Linked DNA regions of Neurospora crassa OR74A. The protein of the gene in region 4 purifies or fractionates together with the protein of the main gene of each other region. This does not show direct contact. Links are inferred from orthologs where the notes say so. Each region holds a gene or a part of one and is shown on either strand. Other genes may lie near its edges.

Evidence for each region.
Region 1: the proteins of crp-10 (region 4) and NCU01160 purify together in Saccharomyces cerevisiae (affinity purification with western blotting; 3 studies listed by BioGRID, with this or other methods). This does not show direct contact. The link is inferred for Neurospora crassa OR74A from reciprocal best matches to the Saccharomyces cerevisiae genes RPS3 and DBP5.
Region 2: the proteins of crp-10 (region 4) and NCU08323 purify together in Saccharomyces cerevisiae (affinity purification with mass spectrometry; 9 studies listed by BioGRID, with this or other methods). This does not show direct contact. The link is inferred for Neurospora crassa OR74A from reciprocal best matches to the Saccharomyces cerevisiae genes RPS3 and ENP1.
Region 3: the proteins of crp-10 (region 4) and NCU00225 purify together in Saccharomyces cerevisiae (affinity purification with mass spectrometry; 3 studies listed by BioGRID). This does not show direct contact. The link is inferred for Neurospora crassa OR74A from reciprocal best matches to the Saccharomyces cerevisiae genes RPS3 and STM1.
Region 5: the proteins of crp-10 (region 4) and NCU08944 purify together in Saccharomyces cerevisiae (affinity purification with mass spectrometry; 3 studies listed by BioGRID, with this or other methods). This does not show direct contact. The link is inferred for Neurospora crassa OR74A from reciprocal best matches to the Saccharomyces cerevisiae genes RPS3 and ARD1.
Region 6: the proteins of crp-10 (region 4) and NCU03009 purify together in Saccharomyces cerevisiae (affinity purification with mass spectrometry; 3 studies listed by BioGRID). This does not show direct contact. The link is inferred for Neurospora crassa OR74A from reciprocal best matches to the Saccharomyces cerevisiae genes RPS3 and ZUO1.
Region 7: the proteins of crp-10 (region 4) and por purify together in Saccharomyces cerevisiae (affinity purification with mass spectrometry; 3 studies listed by BioGRID, with this or other methods). This does not show direct contact. The link is inferred for Neurospora crassa OR74A from reciprocal best matches to the Saccharomyces cerevisiae genes RPS3 and POR1.

The regions. Positions count from the first base shown.
Region 1 is NC_026505.1:3,084,549-3,088,497, reverse strand, and holds the start of NCU01160 (ATP-dependent RNA helicase dbp-5), read left to right. Parts: upstream 1-1,149; 5' UTR 1,150-1,511; intron 1,512-1,716; 5' UTR 1,717-1,741; coding exon 1,742-2,469; intron 2,470-2,522; coding exon 2,523-2,760; intron 2,761-2,817; coding exon 2,818-3,303; 3' UTR 3,304-3,949. Other genes in the region: NCU01161 (actin polymerization protein Bzz1), read right to left, coding at 13-224, 302-346. UniProt on the Saccharomyces cerevisiae protein: ATP-dependent RNA helicase associated with the nuclear pore complex and essential for mRNA export from the nucleus. May participate in a terminal step of mRNA export through the removal of proteins that accompany mRNA through the nucleopore complex.
Region 2 is NC_026504.1:2,401,756-2,405,899, forward strand, and holds NCU08323 (bystin), read left to right. Parts: upstream 1-1,416; 5' UTR 1,417-1,580; coding exon 1,581-2,200; intron 2,201-2,261; coding exon 2,262-2,390; intron 2,391-2,453; coding exon 2,454-2,626; intron 2,627-2,694; coding exon 2,695-2,913; intron 2,914-2,967; coding exon 2,968-3,108; intron 3,109-3,184; coding exon 3,185-3,345; 3' UTR 3,346-3,644; downstream 3,645-4,144. Other genes in the region: NCU08324 (DNA-binding protein HGH1), read right to left, coding at 1-561, 635-748, 817-966, 1,037-1,057; NCU16789 (hypothetical protein), read left to right, coding at 3,788-3,863. UniProt on the Saccharomyces cerevisiae protein: Required for normal export of the pre-40S particles from the nucleus to the cytoplasm.
Region 3 is NC_026503.1:3,075,185-3,079,368, reverse strand, and holds NCU00225 (hypothetical protein), read right to left. Parts: upstream 2,801-4,184; 5' UTR 2,643-2,800; coding exon 2,625-2,642; intron 2,316-2,624; coding exon 2,297-2,315; intron 2,164-2,296; coding exon 2,005-2,163; intron 1,943-2,004; coding exon 1,777-1,942; intron 1,716-1,776; coding exon 1,121-1,715; 3' UTR 341-1,120; downstream 1-340. UniProt on the Saccharomyces cerevisiae protein: Ribosome preservation factor that protect a small pool of nontranslating, vacant ribosomes in cells under nutrient starvation conditions.
Region 4 is NC_026503.1:4,035,196-4,039,186, reverse strand, and holds crp-10 (40S ribosomal protein S3), read right to left. Parts: upstream 2,704-3,991; 5' UTR 2,544-2,703; coding exon 2,521-2,543; intron 2,262-2,520; coding exon 1,496-2,261; 3' UTR 501-1,495; downstream 1-500. Other genes in the region: NCU11185 (protein phosphatase), read left to right, coding at 3,605-3,628, 3,692-3,991. UniProt on the Saccharomyces cerevisiae protein: Component of the ribosome, a large ribonucleoprotein complex responsible for the synthesis of proteins in the cell.
Region 5 is NC_026505.1:5,781,090-5,784,622, forward strand, and holds NCU08944 (N-acetyltransferase complex ARD1 subunit), read left to right. Parts: upstream 1-1,414; 5' UTR 1,415-1,506; intron 1,507-1,617; exon of another isoform or gene 1,618-1,630; 5' UTR 1,631-1,749; coding exon 1,750-2,062; intron 2,063-2,244; coding exon 2,245-2,642; 3' UTR 2,643-3,033; downstream 3,034-3,533. Other genes in the region: NCU08943 (3-oxoacyl-(acyl-carrier-protein) reductase), read right to left, coding at 40-836, 891-942; NCU08945 (RNA exonuclease 3), read right to left, coding at 3,328-3,533. UniProt on the Saccharomyces cerevisiae protein: Catalytic component of the NatA N-terminal acetyltransferase, which catalyzes acetylation of proteins beginning with Met-Ser, Met-Gly and Met-Ala.
Region 6 is NC_026501.1:8,457,541-8,461,345, forward strand, and holds NCU03009 (zuotin), read right to left. Parts: upstream 2,320-3,805; 5' UTR 2,223-2,319; coding exon 1,929-2,222; intron 1,855-1,928; coding exon 811-1,854; 3' UTR 501-810; downstream 1-500. Other genes in the region: NCU03008 (hypothetical protein), read left to right, coding at 2,600-2,657, 2,742-2,915, 2,983-3,086; NCU03007 (pre-mRNA-splicing factor slt-11), read right to left, coding at 3,351-3,805. UniProt on the Saccharomyces cerevisiae protein: Component of the ribosome-associated complex (RAC), a heterodimeric chaperone complex involved in regulation of accurate translation termination and in folding or maintaining nascent polypeptides in a folding-competent state.
Region 7 is NC_026505.1:5,561,133-5,565,145, reverse strand, and holds por (outer mitochondrial membrane protein porin), read right to left. Parts: upstream 2,801-4,013; 5' UTR 2,464-2,800; coding exon 2,419-2,463; intron 2,113-2,418; coding exon 1,990-2,112; intron 1,852-1,989; coding exon 1,821-1,851; intron 1,464-1,820; coding exon 961-1,463; intron 890-960; coding exon 740-889; 3' UTR 350-739; downstream 1-349. Other genes in the region: NCU04303 (asparagine synthetase 2), read right to left, coding at 3,503-4,013. UniProt on the Saccharomyces cerevisiae protein: Non-selective voltage-gated ion channel that mediates the transport of anions and cations through the mitochondrion outer membrane.

The DNA.
Region 1 (3,949 bases), on a different chromosome or scaffold from region 4:
GCCTTGTCGTACCTCTCAAGGGACCCAGGGGTCATTGTGGGGGTGTCGCCGACACTCAGGCTCGTTGACTTTTTGGCTTTCTTGTCATAGTACTTCTTTGCTATTGCGCTCAGCTCGGCGCTATATCGCTTCTCGGCGGCGCTCCTTTCACGGAAGAAAGCCTGCACATCGTCAAAGAAGGCAATGTTGTTGGCCACATAGACATTGGCCGGTTTAAAGCCATCCTGCATGCGGGCATGTTAGTCCAAGGCCACCAGCACATGTTCAAGCCTCTGAGTAGGCCAGGAGAGATGAAGACAACCTTGAGCACGGTGCCAAAGGATGGCGCGATTTCGCCCTCGGCCATAGTTTGTTGGAGGAGCTTCTTTTAATATTGAGAGTTGTCGTCGTGGATAACCATGCAAACCAGTAGTCGGGTATACATGCAATCTAGACTTCGGGAGAGAATGAGTGGGACTGCTCCGTCGGCTGTCGTCGTGTCTGAATCGATGATGAATCGTGCTGTGCTGGTCCTGGGTATGTACAAGTAGCGGCAGGAACCCGTTGGGTCTTTGGAGGAATGGGCGGGACTGGCGGAGCGTTTGAGTGTTACTCCAAGCAGAGATAGAAGAAGCACGGCAGATACAGCGTTAAAAGAACAAGCAACTAAGTAGTAGAGCAAGAAAGCAAGAGACGGTAGGAGGTACCCCTCCAACAGCTGAAGGTGTGCTATGTAATCGTTCGGCTGGTTATCCCGGTCCGTACACCGTAGCCCGAGCAGCCGGCAAGACCTGAGTTGGGTACCTACCTAGAGGTAGGTAGTAATGATAACTGGGGTGCCGGTGGCTAACCTCGAGGTACTCAATTCAAGAAGGCCCCAGCTGTGCCGTCGGACCTGCGGCTTGGTCGGTGCTAGTGCGGTCTAGGCAGTATGCGTTAACTGCATGAAGATTGGTTCCGAAGAAGCATTCGTTCGTTACGTAACTCTAGGGATATGTTAGAGGTAAGAATTGGAATTCAAAAGACGGAAAGAGAAACCTCGTTTGGCCAAAGAAACAACTGAACTAAACACCTATGGACTTAAAGCCTCCTTAAAGAGACAGCGGGCGGGACCCCGGCCACCTGCACTAAGCCACCCGCTGCTGGCTCGTGCTTTGACCAGGCATTCTGGCCTCCGGCTTCTGCCAGGGCATCAAGCGTTAATTCCAGGGCAGGTACAGTACCAACTACACTACGGCACTACTTCTACACTAGAGGTAGAACAGCAAGTAGGTACGTATACTGCGTACACTAGTGTAGAGGAAGGTGCAGATGCCCCACTATCACTCTGGTTTGATGGCGTCGCGACTTCCTCTCAAAGTCAGCCCTGCCGCTGCCAGAATCTCTTTCTGCCAGCTTCCTTTTCCTTTCGCATTCCTTCTCCCGCCCACAAACCACTGCTGGCAGTTGCTTTGTGGTTACCAACAGCTCAAGATTTCCATCGGATCTCTTAAAAGAACATTTTGTTTACTCCAACAATAACTCCCTCCAAGGTAAGCTTGTCAGCTTGCGCCTCCCCGTCCTTGCGGCCTGGGCCTGACGCGTTGAATTGGGACGCGGGGCATCAAGACCTGACGAAGCGCAGCTTGAAACTTGACTCACCCACGTCTCGGCTTCTTGCTGTAACCGGAATATCCAAGGGGGGGCGAAAAAAATATAACGTATCGTACTGACCGTGCGATTTTTGATTCTTGCTAGCAGTCATCCTAATTACGACGTCATAATGGCTGATCTCGCCAGCCGCATCACCAAGCCCGACGAGGCTCCGGCTGCCGCCCCCGAGGCTGCGCCCGTGTCTGCCCCTGCGTCCGAAGAGCCCAAGGCCCCCGAGAACGAGACCTCCATCGAGGAGAGCCAGAGCAACCTTGTCAAGAACGAGTACGAAGTCGAGATTAAGTTGAGCGATCTTCAGAATGACACCGAAAGTCCTCTCTACTCCGTCAGCTCGTTCGATGAGTTGGGTCTCCCCGAGGCTGTCAACCGCGGTCTGCTCGCCATCAACTTCAAGAAACCTTCCAAGGTCCAGGAGAAGTGCCTTCCTCTCATGCTCTCCGACCCTCCCCGCAACATGATTGCCCAGTCTCAATCCGGTACTGGAAAGACTGCCGCTTTCGTCCTTACCGTTCTCTCCCGCATCGACCTGTCCAAGCCCCACCAGCCTCAGGCCCTTCTGCTTGCTCCCAGCAGAGAGCTTGCCCGCCAGATCCAGACCGTTGTCCAGACCATCGGTCAGTTCTGCGAGAATTTGATTGTCGAGGCTGCTATTCCCGGTGCCATCTCGCGCGAGACGGGTGTTAGAGGCAGCGTCGTCGTGGGAACTCCGGGAACTGTCATGGACCTTGTCAAGCGCAGGCAGTTCGATATCTCGCAGTTGAAGGTTCTTGTTATTGACGAGGCCGACAACATGCTTGACCAGCAGGGTCTGGGTGACCAGTGTGTCCGCGTCAAGAAGTAAGTTCATCTTTGGGCACTAGTGTTATGCGACCTTTACTGACATTAAGTAGCATGCTCCCCAAGACCATTCAGATCCTCCTTTTCTCTGCGACGTTCCCAGACAAAGTTTTGAGATTCGCCGAGCGCTTCGCACCCAACGCCAACCAGATGAAGCTCAAGCATAAGGAGCTTACGGTTAAAGGTATTTCGCAGATGTTCATGGACTGTCCTACCGAGAAGGACAAGTACGACATTCTTTGCAAGCTGTATGGTCTCATGACCATTGGTTCTTCCGTCATCTTCGTCCGGGTATGTTTTTTCCCCTCGAATACTGTTGTAGACATTTGCTAACGTGCTTTCTTCCAGACGAGAGAGACAGCCAACGAGATCCAGAAGCGCATGGAAGCAGATGGTCACAAAGTTTCGGCCCTTCACGGCGCCTACGAAGGCCAAAGCCGTGATGTTCTTCTCGATGAATTCCGCTCCGGACGTTCCAAGGTCCTCATCACCACCAACGTTCTGGCACGTGGTATTGATGTTTCCAGTGTGTCCATGGTCATTAACTACGACATTCCGATGAAGGGACCTGGCGAAAGGGAGCCGGACGCAGAGACATACCTTCACCGTATTGGTCGTACCGGTCGTTTCGGTCGTGTTGGTGTCTCGATCAGCTTTGTCCACGACCGTAGGAGCTTCGAAGCGCTCTCCCAGATCGCTCAGTTCTACGGAATCGACCTTATCCAGCTGAATCCCAACGACCTGGATGATACCGAGAGGAAGGTGCAAGAAGTTATCAAGTCGAGCAGGGCCCAAGCGGAGTACGTTCCCAGCGCTACTGATTCGGCCGTTTAGGTAGTTGGCCGATCAATGAGTGTTGAGGGGGAGTCGTCGTCGTTGAAGTCGTTGAAATCGTTCTTCTCTTCGGCGCCGCCGCCGCCGGAGACTCAGCAGTTTAGCGGATGGTGGTGAGCTAATACACAAGGAGTTTATCAACTGAACCATCTAGCGTAGGCGAGGGATCATGTCTTTTCATCGTTGCTGCGACATCAAGATGTTGGGAAGCCCAGAAGGAAAGGGTATGTGGGAGTGAACTCATGATGCGCATATTCCGTCATTCAAAATGGGAATCGGGAGTTTAGATCAAAGAGATACCAACAAGGGGCGAAAGATAAATAACTTTTGCAGTCAGCAAGATTGCTCAAGACGCGTTCGATACTACCCGACGTTGATACACCGGTAGACGCCAGGGTATCACGAAAATGTCAAGTGCATTGTGTCTCGTATGGAAGGGGGGGCAAAGAACGCTTATCTCAACCGCCGTGCTATACATTTATGCCCACCTCACGACGAAAGTCACAACACGTTGGGCTCAGCATCGCCCTCGGTACCATAACTTTACTTCGTGGTCCGAGTCCAGCTGGATAGTGGCGTAGTTCCCCTCCCTCTTTTTGTCTCCAGTCGTTGGGAAGCTGTTTACTCAAGACTGGTAGCATGTGGA
Region 2 (4,144 bases), on a different chromosome or scaffold from region 4:
TTCTAGGTGTGTCAGGATGTTGCTGCTGTCGGGATCGCGCTGCTTGTCTGGAGGCAATAGCTGAAGATCGGTAAGCATTTCCAATGCCTCATCCTCGGGATAAACTTCGCCGCCCATGATAGGAAGTAAAATGTAGGGTAAGATATTGACGTCATCCTCATCCAAAAACGCCGGGTGCGAAGGAATGTCAAAAGCAGCGTTCTTGATAATGCTCGCCACTCCCTTTCGCCTGATATCGGACTTGTGTTCGGTAAAGACCTTGATCTTGTTGATTGGAATAACATCGTCGTAGTCCTGTCTGTTGACAAAGTAGTGCCGGATCTCTTCATGTTTCGAAAGGTCGGCAAAGACGTAGGAGAGGTAGTCGTAATCGGCGTGCTTGTTGTAAGTCCCGTCGGCGCCCTTGACGAAGAGGTCCATTAGTTGGTTAATGACCCTATCGTCGGACTTGAGCTTCTCTGGAGCGGGCTGTTTCCGGTCTAGAAGACTTTTGAGTCCATCCCACTTGGTCAAGTTTGCCAGCAACATAGCCATAAGATTGGCGTTAACCTCCTCGGGCTCCTATAGGAACGGGATCGAAGCGGTTAGTCCTTGCTGCGCACGCACCGTAGGAGCTCAGAATGGATACACATACGACAAGAAGCCCGAGGAGGATTCCAAGGAAGCGATCATCGGTCGCGACGTATTCCAGCACATCCTTCTCGGCAGTCAAGTTGATCAAGCATGTTAGGGCGTGCTCGGCGATTTTCTGCACATGGTACCGACGTCTTAGCTGAAGCTGCTTGGGCGCAAACAAGACAAGTCTGTTGGGCCTACCGGGTGGTCGCGGATCAAGAACTTGAGATGCTTGATGGGGGTGAGCTCGTCGGTCTTGAAGAGGGCGGGCTGAGACGCTGAGAAGGGCACCAGGTTCTCTGTCGCGAGAAGGCGGATGTTGGCGTTCGGCGAGGCAATGAAGCCCACGAGCTTCAGGCGATTATAGCGATTAGTTGTCTGTCCACTGACATTGACACTGCACTGGTTCTGGCAGAATTACCTCTTCAAGTTCGGTCGGCATGTTATCAATGGTAGCTGGATGTATGGTTGTATTGGACTTGCTATAAGCTCGTAACCGTGGCGAGCGAGGCTATGATGTCGCGACTTCCCTTGCTCTTATTCATGCAGTGGGCCAAGCTGCAAAAACTGTAAACACAGGGAACAAAATTCCAGGAATTTGCAACCGAAGAGGGGCACAGTGACGAAAATGCGGGGCAATAAAATGTTTATCGCTGCTCCGCCGGGCGCGTCCAAGCTAGACGATAAGCGATAAGAGGTATTGTACCGCTTATCATTTTCACCGCCCTGGCATCAGAAAATAAAGTGTGCCCACACAGCAAAGAAGTGACCAACCACAAGCGTAGCGCAAGCCTTTCAAGTGCCCAGACTTCTCCACGGCGGGAACAAATTGTCCAAGGGTCGCCGAAAAAAATATCCCCAATTGCCGTGTGCAGCCAAGTCGACATCGCAAAGAGAGGGGACAACCAGGAGAGCTCCGTATCATCAACTCTTCCCCCGATTGCACAACCCTACCGCCATTCAAGATGCCCAAGACAACAGCGGCGACGTCGAAGAGGCGCCACAACCCCCTCGAGGCCGACCTCGTTTCTACCGGCGTCCTTAAGAACAACTCCGGCAAAAAGAGCAAGAACACTCGCGCCGCCAACGACGAAGATGAGCAAAAGTATGTCGACGCCAAGGCTTCGCGCAACATTTTGGCTATGAGCCGTAGCCTCATCGAGGAGGAGGAGAACCTCCGGACAACACAAAACGCAGCCTCCGGATCTGCTCCTTCGGCGTTCGAGTTCGATCCATCGAGATTCGACCGCAACGATGACGAAGACGACAAGTTTGAGAACGACGAGGCCTGGGGCGAGGAAGAGGAGGAGGAGGTAGAGGAAATCGAAGTCGACGCCACCGATCTCGAGACATTCAACCAGTTTATCACACCCACAATGAACGAGGACCCGCTCCTAACACACGGATGGGATGGAAAGCCAGAAGGGGCAGAAGAGCAGGGTCAGAGCGTGAACCTGGCGGACCTTATTCTTGCCAAGATCGCAGAGAAGGAAGCCGGCGGCCCCCAAGGCGGGTACCGCGACGAGCCTGGCCCAATTGATGAGGATTACGAGATCCCCCCAAAGGTGATGGAAGTGTTTGAGAAGTAGGCTGGCCGTTATTTCTGTTACCCTCTTGGCAGACTACTGACAGACTCCTTCTCGCAGAATTGGCATGATTCTTTCTCGCTACAAATCTGGGCCGCTTCCCAAGCCTTTCAAGGTCCTTCCTCAGATCCCCCACTGGGAGGACATCTTGCCCATTACACAACCCGAGTCCTGGACTCCCAATGCCTGGTATGGTTGCTTCTTCCTGTTTTCGGGAGCCAGAGAAACGCTGCTGACATTTGCGATTGTTAGCTACGCGGCCACCAGGATATTTGCGTCCGCCAAGGAGGCTGTTCTTCAACGGTTTATGGAGATGGTGATCTTAGAACGCGTCCGCGAGGACATTCACGAGACCAAGAAGCTCAATGTCCATCTTTTCAACTCCCTAAAAAAGGCCCTCTACAAGCCTGGTGGTTTCTTCAAAGGTGTGTTATTTACTGCCTACGCTTAGTCAGGTTTGCTCAAAAGGGACAACCCAGCTAACCGTTGGCAGGCTTCTTGTTTCCTTTGGCGGCTTCCGGAACGTGCTCGCTGCGTGAGGCGCAGATCGTAGCCGGTGTTTTGACCCGGGTCACCATTCCGGCTGTTCATTCCGGTATGGCCATTAAGGGCTTGTGCGAAATTTCTTCTGCGCAGGCTTCTCAGCGCCTCGACTGCGTTAGCGCTACGAATTTCCTCCTCAAGACTCTGATTGAGAAACGTCACGCCTTGCGTAAGTCCAATTCCTAGCGTGCCAATGATTGTATTCTCTGACTTTGTAATACAGCCTTCCAAGCGCTCGATGCCCTCGTCTTCCACTTTCTTCGGTATCCCGCTTTCGCCACCGGCGGGCATATGGCACCCAACGCTTTACCAGTCATCTTCCATCAGTGCATGCTCTCATTTGCACAGAGATACAAGACGAACAGTGAGTTTGCTTCTTCCGTCGCTGTTTCACTATGCGTCCCTATTATTTTTGAGTACTAACCGCGGTCTTTGTGTAGTTACTGAGGACCAGCGAGAGGCTCTCCTGGATCTTCTCCTAACTCACGGCCATGACAAGATTTCGCCCGAGATCAGGCGAGAACTTCTCGCAGGTCGCGGAGGTGGTGTCCCTGTCGCGCAACCCGGATTTGATGGCGATGACACGATGCTGGACGCTTGAAGAAACATCGGTGATCCGGTAATGACTTATAGACGATGAACCCTTGGTATGCAACGAGGACATGTGGCTCATTTTTACCTGGTACGCGCATAGAGATGGGAGTCGTGTTGTTTAGTGACCTTGGTGGCTTGGGGCAGTCCTTAGACATTGACCCCTTTGATAATACTATGTCACGCCTCGACAGTGGCTACTACTCATCACGCCGCTTGAAGAGGAAGTGGTCATGCCAAGTCAGTCACCATGTACTACCCTTTGTATCTTAGTGGTGCTGACCAACCAGCAACATAATTGTTGACGACCTGTAATGCTTTAGTGCACGAAATTATAAATTCAAGATACCCGGTACAGCAACAGGAATTGTCGAGGAGCCTTGGAATAATCATTTTCAGTTATGTGAAGGAAGCTGCCTTTTGACTTCTTTGTTGCGTCAATCTGGCTTGGAATGCCCTTCTCCCATTTTTCCAAGTCCAAGGCAACCGCGATCCTCTGCCACGTTGTCGGAATCCTGAGAGAACAGTGTAAAGGGAAAGAAGGCAATGTAGCTCTCGCCTACTTCGATATCTCGTGTATCTGATGGCATCATCCCGTATTAGGTGCTTTTACCATACGAGTTTCTAGTGTTCTCTTCCTAACACCCGGTCAACCCGAACATTCTAAGCACTCCGCCCCTCTCGTTTCCCTATTTATTCTTGAGATTGCTTTCTTACCCCGAGACACCAAGTTCTACTCAGTATTTCCGCAAGATCAGGATTTTCGGCGCTGCTTTCTGGCGTTTCGCCTAAGAATCCCGACACCACCT
Region 3 (4,184 bases), about 960 kb from region 4:
ATCTTCGAAGCATATGAGGATGAGGGAGGGAACCTCGAGGTTGAGAATGTAACTTGGAGAGGATGGAGAGAGAGAAAGGTTGTAAGATTGAAGGTAGATATCGCTAGTGTTGTCATGGAAGTGAAATGTACATCAGGTCATGTCTTGTATGGTATGGCGGCTGTGATATGGATAAGTAATCATGGGGTTGTGATGGAGAGGGTGTTTTGCACAAGACAAGAAAGGGACACAAAAGAGTGGTCTGTTTACCTGGACCTAGGTCATAGTGAAGGGGTGGTTAGTAAGAACCGCCGAGTTCGGAGTTTGAAATGGAAATGAAAAGGTCTACTACAAGTACTTGTGTGTCAATATCATCGTCAGTGATTTTCCATCTTATTATGTGCCTATGGCGACCAGTCAGTTCAAGATCACGGTGCAGCAAGAACTTCACTTGTCCAGTGAGACATCGAAAAGTGCACTTAAACAGCCAACACAGTGTTGAGTACAAGTCACGGATCAGTGTCAGCTTGTTGTGCCTTTGCCAGAGGAATCCAAAACACTTGTTTTGATATTGCTGCTCTGCCTGATGCCTTTTGCCAGATGCCATATTGGGTGTTAATCCAAAACAAGCCTGTCTTATGTCCATTCTTACGACCTTGCCATGGTCGAGCTATGTCATAGTGCCACCTAGACTATAGCGTGTGTGTCTTTTTGCCCTCTGGATGGTTGCCATCCCATCCTTTGTCTGCGGTTTGAACCGGGTAAAAAGTGAAATATATCCTAGGTATAACGTTCATGCATGGAAGGAAAGGGGATAGATACGGGGAGGAACCAGGTCATACGAACGCGCGCAATTTCAACTTTCGAGCTTGAACAGTTTTACTTTGTTCGATTCCGCGGTAAGTGGTGGACAGATAAGGAAAACCTCTTTCACGGTTCCGGTGTTCATGAACCACTTTTCCGCTAAAGGTGAATGCAACCAAACAGACGAACACCGACCCCATGCTGGCTGCTTTTTTTATCCCAACCCGCCGCCATCCTGATTCTGACATTGCCGCCTCGAAGAGAAAATAAAGGGGGGGCCGTGTGACTGAATAGTCTGGCTTCGATGTATGGTCGTTATGCCGATATTGAGAGGCATTTAGTTGCCGAGGCTGGGGAAGGCAGACTCATCGTTGGGGTTGATGGGAGCAGCCTTGTTCTCGGCGCGGGGAGCACCGCCACGGGCAGCACCACGGGCAGCACCACGGGGAGCGCCACGGCCACGGCCGGCGTCACCACGGGGACCACCGCGGCCACCGCGGGCACCACCACGAGCGGGACGCTCGGGCTCGACGAAACGCTGGTCGATCTCGAGGACCTGCTTGACCTTGCGCTCACGCTCGCGCTGCTTCTTGCCGGCGGAGCCAGCAATGAACTCCTCGGTCTCATCCTTCTTGAGGGGCTTGGCGTTGGCCCACTTCTTGTCCTCAACGACACCCTCGTTGGCCTTGCGGACCTTGAGGGCGGCCTCGGCCTCGAGAGCGGCCTTCTTCTCGGCGAGCTGGGCAAGGTACTCAGAGTAGGAGACGTGCTTCTCCTCCTCCTCCTCGGGGATAGCCTCAGCGGCGGCCTCACCCTCGGTGGTGGCCTCCTTCTGCTCAGTCTTGGCGATCTCCTCGGCGGCCTGCTCATCCTTCAGCTCGGCCTGGCCCTCGGTGGCGCCCCAGGAAAGGGCAGCCTGCTTCTCGGATCCGCTAGTCAGGGTGTTAGTGGACGGAGGTGCCTGTGGCTAGAAATTGCTTGACCGGAACATACGAGGGGATGGACTTAGAGTGGCGGTCATCCGAGGTGTTACGGGGGTGACGGCCACCGCGACCACCGCGGACGCGGGCGTTAGCGCCGCCGCGGGGACCACGAGCAGCACCCTCCTCAGTGGGCTTGCCACGGTTGCGGTCGCTGCCGGCGTTGCGGTCGCGGAAAGCTGGGACCGAAAATGTCAGTTGAGAGGGTAGCCATGGTTAGCATGTTGGATGATCAACATACCGGCCTCGTTGCCGGTCAAGTTAGAGCGACGGCCAGAGCCCTGAGCGGGGGCCTTGCTGGGAGCGACGCCATCGGAGTTGCGCTTGGTGGTGTGGGTCGAGGTCTTCTCGACGATCTTAGCAGGGGCGGCGGGAGCGGTGTTATCCTCCACGTCGTTGCCTGAATGAAAACAATCGATCCGTCAGTATTGGTGGTTCCTTGGATTGCGGTGTTCAATGTTCCTCCTCGCCCTGCCAATTTCGAGTGTGCCGTCGCGTGGGTTCCGTAATTCACAGGAGGGTGGGCAACCAACCGAGCAGATCGAACAGGTTCTGTAGAAAAAGAATCGCAATCGGTTAGTTTCTTGCTGTCTTGAGCTCTAGATTTTCGCGGTATGGCCGGCTGCTGCTCGCTGTGCGTCTGGATCCCCATTCTCCAAGCCTCCCTCCTCTTTCGGATCCCAAATTGTCGCAAGGAGCCGGTGTTGGCGGACTCGCTCGGAAACAAAAATGAAGCTCTCAGTTTCATTTCACGGCGAGGTCCAACCACGGGGTCATCCATATCCGCTGCACAGCATGCAGCTCTCGGCCGACCGTGAAACCGGCCATTTCGGAGATTGACGGGGAGAGAGATAAACACACCTTGGAAGCGACCGACATCTTTGCGCTTGACAGGACGTTGGCCTGACTCAATGCGCTTCTTCTAGACGGGGTTGGGTAGGGGGGGCGGACGACAGCGACAACGACGTCTGATGCTCGCTGTGGTGTCGTAAAAGATTTTGGCAAATCGCTCCCGGGCCACAGGGAGCTCGGACCAGGTTTTGGCAGTGGCACGGATCACAGAGACGCTCGTGCCCCGCCCACCTGCACCAAATCTCCCCTCCAAGGCCCTGCTCTGGCCCTCTTTGCCGCTGTTCCCCGCTTCCAACTTTGACTGCCGTTTTGGCTTTTTGGTGAAATTTCAGTGCGCCGCTGTTATTGGTGGTTAGGGCTACCACTTTGCACGCTGCCTGCCCTTTGTTACCAATGTGACGTGCGTATCGATCCGTACACGCCGTAACTTTGCCTGTTTGAGCTCTGCTCCCAATCCGGCAAGTCTTGGCAGAGTGTTTGCAGCTGCGACGACAACCACTCACGACCATAGACATCATCGTCACCAAGGTAAACAAACCACTGGAAACACATCCGTCACAAACACCTGACGGAAGCTGCCGCTTTATATGCCAAGTTGACGCATTCCTGCTGAGGTGACAGCCTTCTATGAGATCGGACCTGCCTCAAGCACCCCGGACTTCCTGTCAACGGACTTCATGCCAAAAAGGCACGCATTGCCGTCGTGCTTTTAGACACCGGACGTCATGTCTTTCTTGGGGAAGTATTACCTTGGTTGCTGTGCTTGACGGCTTGCCAACAGGTGCTTGATCACGGCCACATTGGAGAGGTCATCACGGACCACTTGAGCAGTTTGATATGCAGCGTGGACCTTTCACCTTTTTTTTTCTTTTTCTTTCTGTTTTTTTTTTCCAACCCCTACTTCTATCTTACTTCCTTTCATTCAAGACTTCTCTGGAAAGTCTGCCATATGCCATGATGTAGAACAGTGTTGGAAGTTGTATAGGTTCTACGTGTCTGTTGAACCGCATCACCCTCAAATCACAGCGGCTCTGCATGCGTTTCCACAAGTGTGGTTCTGGATGGACTCACCCGTTGGTTTGCATCTGACAGTCATGGCAGAGAGTGGACGCTGTGGCGACGAAGCTCAAACAGCAACTATATTAGGACGAGTACCGTTCGCCAGTCGAAGCAGTTGCCAATGGATGTTGAATTCATGAATTGAAGCTCCCCTTTTTAACACACTTGTTTACTTCCTCGTGGCCCTTCGAGGCGGAGATGGACATACATCTGCAAAATACATAACCTTTACCACATTAGAGTCCTGTCCTCGCATCGAGAATGGAAGATAGCCATCAGCAAATGTCTCTTTGTTGTAGGTTAGTTAACCTGAGATATCGGTATCAACTAATCCAGTTATTGTACGGATAACAAGTCGCGGAGAGCCATTTCATCATGATCAATATGCAAGTCGACTTCCTTCTTTGTTGTGTAGCTCTGCAATTCCTTTCTCTCCTTTTCATCTGCCTTTTCAAGATTCTACTGCATTTCTCGTGTCTTGCTTTTCACCCAACATCGAGTCTTTCGTGT
Region 4 (3,991 bases):
GTATGGGCCCCACCACCAAGTTTGACCGAACTTGCCTAATCCGAGACCGCAGTCTCGAGGTCTGCATCAAGGAGAGTTCCCTCTTCTGAAGGGATAGTTGAGGATTTATCTGAGTGTATACCATGAAAGTCTTCAGGGTAAACGAAGATGTATAAAGAGGGGCGTATAAGTGAAGAAGAACCCGAGGCACCCCCAAAATCTGTAACGAATGGAGCGAATTGATTGTCGATCTATACACACAACACAGCACCTTTCAGACCAAGCAGAGCAAAGACCGGAGATATAGACAACAGATCGAAGTGAGGAGGAGGAGAAGGAGGGAGGGAATTCACAAGGGATTCATTTATATATGGGGACCAAGACAGATGGATGATTGAAACCAATACAACAAGAAAAGTGTTATGCGTGTCCTGACTCTCTTCTTCTTCTCCGTGAGTTAGGTACAACGTGTGAAGTATCTCTACCTTGTTTCTTATTGGTTCCAAGTACGAGCGGGTGCCTTAATGATGTGTTACCCCTTCATAGGATCCCATATTCCCAACTTTTCCGAGTCCTAACTGCCCCTAGACACTATATTCCATTACTGTTATACCTCCAAGTTGTGTATTATTCCCCTCAAACGTCCATATCCTTTTCCTCCCTTTTTAAACAAGGGACTGGTGCCAGAACAAGATCCAGATTACTTGTCTCGAAGTATCTATTTGTTAAGTCTTGAACGATTGAGCAGGAGTCTGTCAGCTTGAATATCCAAAGTCGGTGTAACCGTGTATTTCAAAACAACGTCGGAGCAAGTGAAGACAGAGCTCATTTAGTGTATGTTAACATTCATCAGTCCTCCAGTGTTCGTCAAATGTTCGGTGTGAAGCTACTATGCAAAGACGGGAAATCTTGAACGGTTGGATATTTGCGGGACACTTGAGCTGAGAGTGGCTGATGTTTACCTGCTTACATTCCATGTCCCGATTTAGGCCATGATATCATATCAACAAACCTACGGACGAATTTCTTCACATGCCTCACTTAGATTGGTGCCTATATTCCATTAATAGTCTCCTTCATCACACAAAAGGATATGGCACAATTGGCAATCGCAAAACAAGGCAAGGAAGGAGGGCTTGTTCAGGTATCTTATTTCCCTGGCGAAAGTCAGGAATTTCCCGACGTTGCTGCATTGATCGTGGGGTTACAAAAAACAATTATAATCCCAAGCAACAATCCGTCCGCCATTTCCCCTTTTCGCAAGTCTTAATGCAAATGTGCTATGACCATAGTTGACGCCAAATTGAACCCATCCATTTCCGCAACCCAGTGTTTGTTTGGACTTGCAAGCACATTGAAAAAAGACCCCGCCCAAACCCAGCGGCCTTTACCAGACAATGGAAGTATCGTCCGCGCCGAAATTGAACTCCGCCACAGGAGCGACCTCAGGCTCGTCGAAAGACACAGGCACCTCGATCGAAGGCAAAACCTCATTTGACCCGACCTTGAGGTTATCCTACTCCTCAGCGGCGGGGGCAGCGGCCTCCTCCTCACCGGCCTGCTCCTCCTGGCGGGCAGCCTCAGCGGCAGCCTGGACCTGAGCGGCCTTAGCGCCGTAGTCCTGGCTGATGGGCTGGGTAACGGGCTGCTCCTCCTTGGGCTCGATGATGGTGACGGCGTCAGGGAGAGACTTCTGGGGGCCGGACTTGCCCTCGGGGTCAGAGCCGCGCATGATCTTGACCTTGATACCGAGGACACCCTGGCGAAGGAGAACGTGGCGAGTGGCAGAGTCGATGAAGTCCTTAGCGGGCTGACCGGAGTGGATCATGAAGCCATCGGTGAACTTCATGGACTTGGCGCGAGCAGCGCGGAGCTTGCCGGAAACGACGACCTCGCAACCCTTGGCACCGGACTCCATGATGAAGCGGAGGACACCATAGCAGGCACGACGGACGGCAAGACCGTTGAGAAGCTTGTAGCGGAGGGACTCGCACTGAGCGACGGCGGAGAGACCGCGGTTCTGGACCTTGGCGGCGTAGAGGGAGACAGAGTTCTCGGGGAACTTGAAGCGCTTCTGGATGAGCGAGGTGAGCTCACGGATGCGGCGGCCCTGCTCGCCGAGAACCTCCTGGGTGTGGGTGGCGCGGATGATGATGTCGGTGACGGTCGGGGTAACGCGGACCTCGACACCGGAGTAGCCCTCCTCAGCGAGCTCGCGCTGGAAGAACTCGTTCAGCTCGGCGTAGAAAACGCCATCAGCGACGAACTTTCTGCGCTTGGAACTGTAGACAGAAAGAGAAGCAGTCAGCATCAACGCCGCTTTTGTTGTTTTCCAAGCCACCACTTTCTAAATCCCACCCCGTCGGCTGAATCTGCTGCAACCAGCGGGCAGCATATCTCCCGGCTTCGTGACTGAACGCCTTCGTTTTGCATTTGCACCCCCACAGCAGCAGCAGATCGCACCGACGTGTAGACAGTCGTGAAGACGTGTAGTAGACATGTAGGAGGCTTCCATGCTCTTGGTTTGCTCTGGTTGCTTACATCTGGGTGCCGGGAACAGCCATTTTTGCGATTTGGCTATGAAGGTCCTGAGGGCTTCAATTGTGCTGCTGAGGAGGATGGAGTGGGATACCTTCTCGCGGTGTTCACCGGACTTTTCAAAAAGATGGGGGGAAATTCGACCGGCACAGCTACTTTTTTTGCGAATTCCTTGGTGGGCTGCCCTCTGCCGCTTCTGAGTGGCTGGCTGAGTAGGGTTAACAGCCGCCACGGCTCATCCCGGCTGGCAAGCGGCTGGCAATCCGCACCCAGTCTGCGCGCCCAACGCTAGGTAGGAGCCGCCAAGCGCAACCCAAAAAAGGAGATACGTACAGATCTCACATGTGGGGTTGAGGTGCTTCCTTGCGCTTCCCGTCCCCGTCCAGGCCCAGCCTTGCGCCCAGACCACCTCGTGCACTTCACTTCCTTTGATTGTCAGTCGTTGCTGGCTCGGGCAATTTCTGACACCGGCAGGCACCATGAACGTTCCGTCCTCAGTCGGGTTCGGGGTGGCGCTGATAGTGGGGTGTCCATCGACGTCAATCGTCGCTTCCCCGGTTCCAGAGCGCGTTGCACTCCAGATGCTGACTTTCTGCTTGTTCGCAAATCGCAGTCACTATTCGCATACCCTTGGATTCGGACGGCAGGAGGATTAGCAGCAGAGGTTCTGTAGCTTACAAAGTTACCAGTCCCTGTCGCCTTTAAATACCTGTCCTCCAAATCGATTCCACGTGGACCTCGGGGACAATCTCTTGAAATCCCAACAAGTTCCGCGTGAATCACTTATCGTTGACCGGCACCAGTGACTGCGCGGCGAAGTTCCTCCTTTTCGTTTATATCAGGACACATGTTCCTAATTGGTACATTTTTCTGTTTCCCAGTCCTGCAGTCTGGCACTATTGTACAACTACGATACATCTTAAGCGAAGCAGATTCTATTCTCCCCGTTCCTCTCGCCGCAACCGCATCTGTCAACACGTCTTGCGCTCCTGTCCGGACACATTGGGTCTCGGACGTCCGGTCTCCTACCTCGGCTGCACAGCGCCTCATAGTGCCGGGGTAGTTAGTATTACCTCCCAACATCACGATGGCGGCGCCTCACCTCAAGCACGTATGCTCTCCATCATCTACCTTTCCAACTACGTCTCGTTTTCTTTACTGAACCGAATGCCAGACTTTCGCAAACATCCATGCCTTGCGAGGCGGAAAGCCGGAGCTCGGCGACCTTGCGCTCAGTGACTACCATCTCGTCTTCCGCTTTCCCCCCGAGTCTTTGACTGCCGCAGATCCGAGTCTGAAAAAGAGTGTGAAGCAAGTGTGGTTTGCCTTCCACATTATTTCACAGTGCACCCTACGGCCCACGCCCCCTTCTAGTGGCGTTCCTTCCTCGATACGTATTCGGTTCAGAGATTTTACATATGTTAGCTTCAACTTCGCAGGCGACAAGGAAGCCCGGGAGGCATTCGAGTTCATC
Region 5 (3,533 bases), on a different chromosome or scaffold from region 4:
TTCATAACCCTACTAAGTTCATCTTCCTCGAGAATACACTTAATGCAACATCAACATCCCCCCATTAGCACAAACAACTTGTCCCGTACACCACCCCGCCTCCTCACCACACAACATGCCCACCACCCCCGCAATCTCCCCCGTCTTCGCCAGCCTGCCATGCCACTGCTTCGCCTCCTCCACGGCCTCCTTGCCATGCAGATCCTCCCGCGCCTTCATCAGCGGCGTGTGCTTGATCCACCCCTCGATGCCCTCCAGAAACTCCTCCGAGTTGGATGCATACATGGGTCCCTCGACCGGGCCTGGGTTGACAGCGTTGACTGTACAGTTCTCAGCCAGCTCGCGGCTCCAGGTACGGGTCATGGCTTCGATGGCCGCCTTGGAGCCGCCGTAGACGGACTGGCCTATGAAGCCAGTGGAGGAGGAGACGGAGGAGATATTGACGATGCGGCCAGAGCGGTCCTTGGGGAGGTAAGGCTGGGCAGTCTGGACGAGCAGCAAGGGGCCTAGGACATTGACACGGTAGGTTTCCGTAAAGTCGTCCACCTTGACGTTGGGAATCAGGTCGTTGCGGGCGATGCCGGCGTTGTTGATGATGATGTCGATCTGGAGGGAGCCATCGGCCTTGGAGAAGGCGGACGTGGCGGCGGTGATGATGGCTTGGGGGCCTTCGGGAGTGCCAATGTCGGCTTGGACGGGCACGGAGGAGATGGAGTAGGTCTTGTTGAGACGGTCGGACAGCTCGGAGGCTAGGGAGGCGGAGGAGGGGGTGGTGTAGTTGAGGATGAGGTTGCAGCCTTTGGAGGCGAGGTTCTCGGCGATGGCGGCGCCGATGCCTGGAGATTCTTAGTGTCTTGAATGTGAATTCAAGAAGCATAAGAGTTACTAACCTCTAGAAGAGCCGGAAACAATGGCAAGCTTGCCCTTGAGTGGTTGGGACATTGTAAGTGGTGTTGTCGTTCTGGTATGAGTGATCTATGGTGGGGTAGCTCGAGGCTGGGTATCAAGAGGGTATCACAGCAATCACACACACAAGAACAGAAGAGACGACAATGAAAGTCAGAGTCAATTGAGCATAGGGGAGCGGAAAGCTCTATATACATTCACCGCCCGTCACGAGAACATTGTCCAACTTCCTCATTATCGGCTAGTATTACTGTCATGAATTCAGAGAAGCTTTCAGACGAAGCTCCCCCGCATCACATTGCATCCACGGCGCGCTTGGCCCGGTGTTGACTGCCCCTAGCTCCCGGGCTTGTCTGCCCCGCGATTTGTGCGGCTATAGCAGCCGTCCCACCATCATCCAACCGTGAAGCTGTGCCGCCAGGGGTCAGGCCAGTCTGGATTCCACACGGGAAGTGCCCCACATTGGAGTGCGGATTGTGGATCCAGAGCCTCCCACCACCGTAGCGCAGCGTCAAGCAGTCTCCAATTCAACATTGACAAGTTGTGAACTGCGACCGCAACACCGAACCACCGATCCCTGACATAGGCGACTCGCTTCTTGTAAGTTCGACCCCCGTTGAAGACTGCTCCGTATCAGCTTGGTACTATCCGTTGCTGGGGATACCTACCCTAATACCCTGCCGTCGAGATAGCTGTTACTAACCAGTCCAGCTGCTTCTCCCAGAGCCCACCACCACCATCCCAAAGTTGAAGCTATCACCAAGTCGTCAACCCTCCCACTCTCTAAGTCACCACCAACACCACCATCCTTCCAGACCGAACCCCCCAATCCCAACAGCCACAATGGATATTCGCGTCCTCCGCCCCTCGGACATCCCTCTGATCCAGCACGCCAACATCGAGAACCTGCCCGAGAACTACTTCCTCAAGTACTACCTGTACCACGCGCTCTCATGGCCTCAGCTGTCGTATGTCGCCGTCGACGTGAGCCGCCCGGCCAAGAGCGCCTACGACTACCCCAAGATCGTCGGCTACGTCCTGGCCAAGATGGAGGAGGAGCCGACGGACGGAGTGCAGCACGGTCACATTACTAGCTTGAGCGTGATGCGCACCCATAGGCGACTCGGCATTGCTGAGAAGCTGATGAGGCAGTCTCGTACGTCGTTTCCCCCCCTTCTCCCCCCTTTCTCTCCTTATCTTCCTTTCTCTCCTTATCTTCCTTTCCTTTCTTTCTTTCTTCCTTTTTTTTCTCTCTCCTCGCTCCGCTCGACCTCTACCCTCCACACAAAAGCACCACCAACTAACCTATCATCTCACTGACGCGGTGTGAAAAAACAGAACAAGCAATGGTCGAGACCTTCGGCGCCCACTACGTCTCTCTGCACGTGCGCGTCTCCAACGCCGCCGCCATCCACCTGTACCGCGACACTTTGGGCTTCAAGACGGAGAAGACGGAAGCCAAGTACTACGCCGACGGCGAGGACGCCTATTGCATGAAGCTCGACCTGGCGCCCATCCGCGAGGCGCTTTTGGCCGAGCAGCTGGACGAGAAGGACGCCAAACCAAAAATCGAGGAAGGAAAGGGATCGGAAGGGGTGGATGAGGGTGAGGCGGTTGGTGATGTCGGTCGTGATCCTGAAGCAGACTCTAAGAAAGAGGATAAGACGGTCAAGGTCAAGGTCGGTAGGGGGTTAGGTGTGGGTGAGTTGGTGGAGAGGGATGAGAGTAAACACTAGAGATATAACTACTGCTGCTGTTACTGTGACGGTGTGCTTGTAAAGAGGGGAAGAAGAAGAAGAAGAAGAGCGTTGATATTAGACTTGGCATTACTGGCTGGGGTTTGGGAAAAGGAAAAAAGAAAGATTCGCTGTTTTTTTATTTACAGAAGGAGACGGGCGTCTAGAACTAAACCCTCCCCGAGCGATCACTTCGAAAATGGTGGGATGAATGCATACCCGGCGTAGCGAATTGGATGCAAAATAGGTGAATAGTCATGTAGTCAATTTGAGAGTAGTTGTTCAAATTGGTTCTGTAAATACCCATTGTACGGATTAGAAGAAAAGAAAAGAAAAGAAAAAAGGCTGGCCTATTGGAGGGAAAGGGGCAAAGTAAACAATGAACAAGTAGAAGGGCACAGCCAGAACAGAATTGGCAACATCACCATCAATTTTACAATGGAGCACTTCCAATGTGTCTACTAGTCCGAGCAGTAACGAATAAGCATAGCTTTTGTCTACTCATTGTGCCTATCGTTGCGAAATTCGCGTAATCACTTCAAGAAACTGGCAAACTTGGCAAACATACTACATTGTAGATTCTGTGTCGCAACAGAGCCCCCAAAGCCAACTGAATCTTCTCTTCACCACCAAATACTTTCCAGTTCGCCCAGCTTCCAAGTGACAAGACACCCCCGTCTCTAATCTAAACCTCAACCAATTCCCCCTCCTCCGTGCCATCCCTCGTCTTCCTCACTTCCGTCAGCTTCTCCCCACCACTCTTCTTCCCCTTCGAATCCTTCGGCGGCACAAACTCTCCATCCTTCAACGTCCACCCCTCCCTCTTCATTCTCGCCCACGTATGCTGGATCTTGAACCTGACCAAATCTCCCGCCGCCCTTGCGTCCTCCG
Region 6 (3,805 bases), on a different chromosome or scaffold from region 4:
GCAGGTTTTGGCGTACTACAGTACCTACGTACATGGACTGAGAGTGAGTTCAAGCTTGACATCTGATCGAAAATTTCCGGAAATCGAATGGCTCAGACTTTCCGGGAACAGTACACCTAGGAGTTCAAGGTGGCTGTACCTCAGCTTTGCGATCAACGGTTTGAAGGGCCCTGGACTTGTTCCCTTGCTTAGCAGTGACTTATATGTGCCTTGTGAGCTTTCCTTCTTGTTCTTTCCATCTGATAAGAAATGTACCTGCGTCGTCGGCGAAACACGCATGTAATCGTGAATTATGTACTTAGTTGCATCTGCCACATGCGCATGTGATGATGCTTTTACAGTTGCCGCTCAAGATGGCATGTACAAGCGTGCTTGTGCATGAAGCTTTACCGTACTAAAAAGGACCAAGACTGAGCGAGCAGTAAAGCATTGTTATGCGTACCTGCGTATGGAATTATGATTGTAGCCGGATAGGGGTAGATCTGTCATTCTTAGCAGTAGGTATTGTTTCTCAGGATTTATCCGAATCGTTGAAGAGATGATCGAGCCTACCGGCCAACTCATGCGCTTCATCATCAGAGTTTGGACCCACTTTCAACATCACAGCAAGTAGGGATCTCTGTAGCAGTGACAACCAGAGATACGACATCACACGTCGAAGCAGAAGTTGGCTGGCGAGGAAAAAAGTATACTCCATCTCCAATGGTATCAGTCAACAACTCTGTTTTTCTCCAGGTCTAGATTCTAGTAGTGATAGACAAACGCCAACATGATCATTCACTATTATCTCATGACTCGGTAAGAGATCATTTAAGCAGAAAGAGCCTTGAGGTCACCGGCGTTGATCTTGCCGGCACCGACAAGGCGGGCGGCCTCCTCGTTCCAGACAGCCTTGATCTCGTCAGCGACCTTGAGGTTGTTGAGCTTGCCAGCGAGGGCAGCGATCTCATCGGGATCGATCTTGGCCTGGATAAGCTCAACGTCACCGAGAACGGCATCGATGGTGGCAACAGAAGCATCGCCCTCAACGAAGTAGTTGGCATCCTTGACGGAGCCACGGAGGACACGCTTGTTCTTCTTAACAGCGTTCTTAGCAGCCTCCTTGGCCTTCTTGCTTGCCTCACGGTCCGCCTTGGCCTTCTCCTCGGCCTCCTTAGCGGCAGCCTCCTCAGCAGCCTTCTTGGCAGCAGCCTCCTCAGCGGCCTTCTTCTCGGCAGCCTCCTTCTCGAGCCTCTTCTTGTTCTTGGCGGCGTTGGCCTCCTGGCGGAACTTCTTGATACGCTCATCGGCGGCCGAGCAGTCATCGAGCAGCTTGCGGAGACGAGCATTGTCCTCAGCCTTTCTCTTCTTGCGGGTGTTGAGGTTCTTGCGCTCGGTGTGGCGTCTCTGGTCGCGGGACTCGCTGTCATCGGGAACATCCTCATCGAGGTACTCGAACGACCTCCAGCTGTCGAAGTTGTAGAAGAAGTTGTAGAAGTTCTCGACCTCTTCGCGGGTAGAGTTCTCGTTGCCGAAGCTGGGGACGGGCTGGGTGTTGCTGAAACGGCCCTCAGCCTTGAAGACGTTGCCCCAGAGCTTGTAGAAGTTGCCCTTTTGGAGCTGCTTCTTGGTGGGGGGTTCGACATCGGCTTCCTCATCAACAGAATCGAACTGGCGGCGCTTGATGGGGTCGAGGAGGACCTCGGTGGCCTTCTGGATGCACTTGAAGAAGTTGTCGTCCTCGGTGCGGCCAGCGGCGGCCTTCTTATCGGGGTGGTGCTTGAGGACCTTCTTGCGGTGAGCGCGCTTGATCTGCTCCTCGGTGGCCCTCCAGCGGTACTTGGAAAGGCCGAGAACCTTGTAGTGATCTTGTTGCTGTATACGGGGCAATCAGGTTAGCTGTCAAGGTCTTGCGTGGCGTGATACACCATTACACGCTGAGCACTAACCTTCCAGTCCTTGGCGTCGCGAGAGAGCATCATGGGGTCCTCGGGCTCGCTGAGGTCGCTCTCATTGTCCTCCTCGACGTTCTTGGCACGCTCCTGGGCCTGAATACGGTCATCCTCGGAGAAGGTGCGCTTGTGGCGGGCGCGGCGGGCGTGGGCGAGGAAGTGAGGGCCGACGGGCTCGATGGTGCGCTGGGTGGCCTCGTTCTGGGCAATCTTGCCGATGGGCTTGAAGTCCTTCTCGGCGGTCCAGCCCTCAGGGAGGGTGGGGAGAGGAAGGGGAACCACAGTAGTCATTTTTGCGGCCGATGATGAGGATGGTGATGGTTGGGTTGGGAGACAGTGACAGGCGCAGGAACCAGAAGCTTGTATAGGCGGGGCCCCTCTGTTGTCTTTTTACCGACGGAATTCTGGAAATTTTTCGATGGCTAAGCTCCCCACATCTTGCTTATCGACCGCCAATCACAATCATCGCAACTCCAAGTCCACTCCGGCCGGCAAGCCTACCCGGTCCTGGGCGACATTTTTGGAGGTCGCATTGCCGTCACTGCAACTGTTTCCAGACAAGCCTTGAATCTTTTTGTTAGACCGGAAGTTGGCGATACAATACTATTTACTTTCTTTAGAACCTGCATTCCCTTGCATGACCCTCGTTTACCAGCAGTATTGTCAACATGTCTGCCCTTCAAGCCTACCGTCACCTCATGCGCGCCGCGAGAGTTGCCTTTGATGGTACGATGTTCCCCTGCAGTCTCCTTGGTGCATCCGCCGGCCCATGTAGCTCCCCGGACTGACCGGCATGTGCCACTATCTTAGGCGATAACCGCACCCTTACGGCCGCCTACGAGTCCATCCGCCGTGGTTTCCGCGAGAACCAGAACGTTCCCGCCAACGATCCTACGATTGCGCCTGCGATTGCGCATGCCGAGGAAGTTGCCAGCTTTTTGAGATCCAATGTCGTCCAGGGCCGTAAGGACGGCGAGACCTACAGTGAGCGAAGTCTAGGGGTGCTCGAGTCATATACAGAATATGGTTGCTGACTCCATGTTCGTTGCAGAGCTACGGATTCACCAGGACACCGAGCGCGGCGACAACGATACCATCAAGCTAGGCAACCAGACCATCAAGATCGGCGGCGAGCAGAAGTGCTGCTCGGCATAAGTGAATACAAAACCATGGTTGGATAACACAAGGATTTTGGAAGCTCAAGTTCGTGAGAACGTAATGGGACAACAGGACAGTGCCGTTGCCCGTGTATATGTATAAATCATCAATGATACCCCTCAATGTAGAAAACTAGTGGAAGAGACCATGCGATATCAGGAAATGCAACGTATCCGAGATACCCTGAGCCCAAACCCCAAATCATAATAGCCTCCGAACGCCTTGCAATACCATGATTAATAAGCACTTTTCTGACCCCGCTTAGTTGCCAGAGAGACTGGCGTACTGTACGTCTGCCGCACCGGGCGGCGCTGCGATAGTGAGGTTAGATGCGTCGTCTTTCTGCGCTCCTGATGCGCCACCCTGGGCATTTTGTCCCCCGATCGCCTTTTGGCCACCTGTCTTTTGACCACTGCCAAAGGCCGACCGACCATCTCGTAGCATCTCCGAACGCTGTTCCTTGTTCATTGTTCCCAACGCCTTGGGCACGCTCCATCTAACTCTCAAGGGGCATCCGGCAATGACAGCACGGCCTTTGCACTCCGCTGAAGCCTTCTCAGCAGCCTCCCGAGTCTCGTAGTTGACGAACGCGGCATGCGACATGTGCGACACCACCAGCGACTTGATCTTTCCGAACGCCTTGAAGAAGTCGCGAATCTTGAACTCAGGCAGATCATCTTCGATACCGGTGACGAAGAGGGACATTATGCTCTTGT
Region 7 (4,013 bases), on a different chromosome or scaffold from region 4:
AGAAGAGCTTTGTGTGACAACAGACTACATTCATAATTCAGCTCTTGAGAAGATGATGAGAAGTTGATGAAGCTTGAACTGTGTGCCGAGAAGATCTGTTCCAATTCAATACGCATCTTTGCATGCTGGGTGTTCGCCGTACTAAAGGTACCTATCTATATATAGCTAGTATCGTATCTCCTCTAGTCGAGGTGTAGGGAATCGATTTGCGGACAACACGTTGAATAAGCTCTATCCCTCCAGCTTTAGTTAACTGGCTGGGTTTAAGCCTTGCTTGCAGCAAAGAATGCCACCAACAATTACATGCTGATGCTTCACTTCATTGCACAGCCCTTTGGAGTTTCAACGGTGTTTGAAAAGTAAGTACTGAATGAGCGTGTTTGAAATCGCTATGGGTATTTATAATCTAAGTAGTGTAAAGATCGCGCTTGGTTTCCGTCTCCAGCCTAATTACAGTAACCATGTCCATCAAAGACGCTACAACTCTATCAAGAACTTTTGGCCCTCTTCGTTACACAAAAGCCCAAACCAGTTATACACAAACTCATCCTATCAGTCAGCCACCCGAAGCAGGGCGCAACGTTCGTCATCTTCACTATCTTCATAAAAGAAATAAATATCACTACTGGAAGGGGAGGCTCCACGATGCCAGCAAAGGGGGGTTATCTATTCCAGTTGAGAATTTGTTCGAAGGAATACTATTACGCCGCTGCTTCTTCACATGTGTCCTGCGATTACTCTAAGACTCGAAGGTGAAGCTGGTGCCGACCTTGTGGGTGGCCTGGTCAAGCTTCTGGGTATCGAAAGAGGCACCAACACCGAGGGTGACGCCCTCACGGAGGAGAACATTGTAGGCAATGGCAGCGACACCACGGTCGTTGATCTTGCCCTATACGGTTGGAAAGAAACATCAGGTCAGCATACAGAAGTTCCATAAACGGAATGACAGCAATAACATACCTTGACGAAAGAGACGGGGTCAATGCGGTACTTGGTGGCGACCTCGAGGCCGACGGTGTTACCGGTCTTGGAGTTCCAGGTGGCCTTGGAGCCGGCCTCAACCTGGGAGTTGACCTTGTGGTAGTAAGAAGCGGAGAAGACGCTCAGGTTGTCAGTAGCGGTGATGGCAGCGCTGTAGGTAGGGGCGTGGTAGCCGACAGCGGCGCTGTAACCAGTGATGGCAGCCTTCTGGACATCGTAGCCAGCGGAGGCACCAGCGAGGAAACCCTCGTGGCCGACAATGGCGTCAATGTTGGCGGTGGGGCCCTTGAGGAGGTCGAAGAAAGCACGGCCGTGGAAGTTGCTCTGCTTGAAGTGGAGGTTGAACTTGGCGCCGCGAGCGTTGGTGGCGGGGAGGAAAGAGAAGATACCCTCAGCCTTGAGACCCTTGGCGAGGTTGTCGGCCATCTCGACCTTGGTCTCAAGGGCGTTGGCAGTGTTCCAGGTCTGGGTGACGGTCAAGCCTGTTGTTCGCCAGTACATTAGCATTGTCGTGAGGTTCGCATACGGATAATGGAGAAAGCTGAAGTAGAGGGGTCGTCCCCGAACTCGAGGACCGATGACGCCGCCTAGAGAGAAATTCAAGTCTACCAGCGGCCGAACACGCGCTGAAGGCCTCTGCTTTGGTTGTTTCACGTTGGCAGTACCATTGTCGTGGGCGGCTAAACTTCCGTCGGGATGACAATTCCTGGCCTTTTCGTCTTTGTGGACGCGTCTGTGAACAATGCAAAAGCCAGGAGGTAGTGGTGCGCCGGGAGGAAGGGGACCAAAAGGGGGACCAGAAGAAGAAGACAGAGATGTAAGAGAAGAGTGATATGTACCATTGGGCTTGTCGGTGAATTTGCCCTCGAGCTATCAGTCACGCAAAAGAGGTCAGCTTGGTCCGTTGGCAACATGAGAGAAGGGAGGGCGTTTGGCGCAACAGCAAGGTGGTATGATGCTGTCGCGGCATTGCGCCGAGAGCCCCAAGGGAGGGAGGAGGTAACGTACAGCACCGCTGGTGACCTTGTCGTGTGTGGACTTGCCGGTAACCTTGAAGGCGACATTGTTGGGGGTGTTGGACTTGACCTCGATGGTGCCGGCAGCGAGGTGGTAGAAGTCCTTGTTGAGGAGCTATATTGCGCGCAAAGAAGTCCATGGTTAGCGACACATTATAGTGCGTGCATGGGGACCAGGGCCCAATCATTCAATCATGGTGGGGGTGGAGGAGGATGACGATGTTGCTTCGTGGACATTGGCATCGACGAGCTATCGCGAGAGGGGGATGTGTAGGTAGGTATGGGGAAATGCCGCTTCAGTTTTGGAGCTTGTACAGCTTTCTCCAGCCAAACAGACAAACACGTCTCTCGATAACATCGATCGAACAGGTCGCCGTCATAGCTCGGGTGCGGAGCACAGGGAGGCGTGATTTTTGCTTACGTCGTTGGCCGACTTGGCGATGTCAGAGAAAGCGGGAACAGCCATTGTGAAAGATGTTGTGTGAGGGCGACACGGGTATGATGGTGAATGGAGAAAGTGAGGTTGCGGAGTTCAAGAACGCGAGCTGGAGACGGGAGTCGGGAGAGAAAAGGCTTGCGGTTATGTTGCGCGCGGCGGGGAGCAGCAAGCTCAGTCGGGTCGGCTGCGACTGACGGCGGGGGGGCCTCTCTCTGGTGGGTTCTGGCGAGCCTGGCGACTGGGTTGGGAAGTCGGCGTCGGGTCTGGGAAGCTCCAGCCGAAAAGTGGAAATGGAAATGTTGGGAACACCAGAGACACCCCAAGACCAGGTGCAATGTCCCGATAAATTTCTTAGACGGAGTCGTGATTGGTCTTTCTCGCCGTGTGCATTTGGCAGCTCGGCAGCGCTAGTAGGCTCGCCATGACAAGCTTGAAGCAGCACCAATCGCGACCCCACGCCATTGACGAAACCAGCCCGTTCATGCACACCATTAACCCTAACCCCTTTCAGCGTCATGGCCCCCTTTCACGCCTTCTCCAAAGGTAAACAATCAGGGCACAGACTGAAGCTGAGGCAAACCATATCATCTGCAGTCAGCCCTTTCATCTCGAGACCGCAAGTGCATTTGTGTCGTCCGGAAAAGGCCCGCATCTCATAGCACCCACATAATGCAAGCATCTTTTATCTATCGCATACGCATAATTGTCATCCCCTTTTCTCGTACTCACATCTTCATTACCGTCTGTTGCTTGGAATAGGTCTTGCTTAGGTTGTTTCACTTGTCGTTCGTGTATTGCACCCGAACCTTGCTCAATACGAAGTCAGTCCCATCCAAACGGTCACCATTGTTCACAAACATGCCAATTGCTACATAGAGTTTTGAATCACTTTTTGTCTTCATCTCTATGCTGGGTTAATGGCTAGTATAGGTATACGCGATCCGTTTATTGTGACCCCATATAACGCCCTGCATTGTAATCCCGATGCCAAGCTTTTAAACATTCCAGTCCCCATTTTCTTTATCCATGGTTTCCCTTTTTGGTTTTATTATTTTCTTGTTTTGCTTTACTCGTCCACGTGGTCATACTTGGCTTGGTGAATGGAGATGGCTCTGCCACTGGGGTCGGTCTGCTTGACCCACTTGGGAGTCCACCTCATGACGGTAGACGCGCACGAAGGGGGGAAGTGCTCGTCGAACATGCAGCGGTACCAGTAAGCCTCCTTGGTATCGGGGATGTCGTCACCCCACTCGGGCTTGGGGTTCTTCATCATCTCGTCAGTGACTTGGAGCTCGGCCTGGTCCTTGAGAGCGTCGATCCATCCGTAGCCGACACCGTCGGAGAACTGCTCCTTCTGGCGGTAGAGGATGTTGTCAGGGAGGTAAGCACCCTCGGGCTGGTCCTTGGTGTCGAAGGCCTTGCGGAGGATGTACTTCTCGAGCTTCTCCTTGGTGATCATCTTCTCCTGGGGATCGATGTTGAGAGCAACCTCGAGGAACTCCTTGTCGAGGAAGGGCACACGGGCCTCAAGACCCCAAGCAGAGGTGGACTTGTTGGCGCGCAGGCAGTCGGCCAAG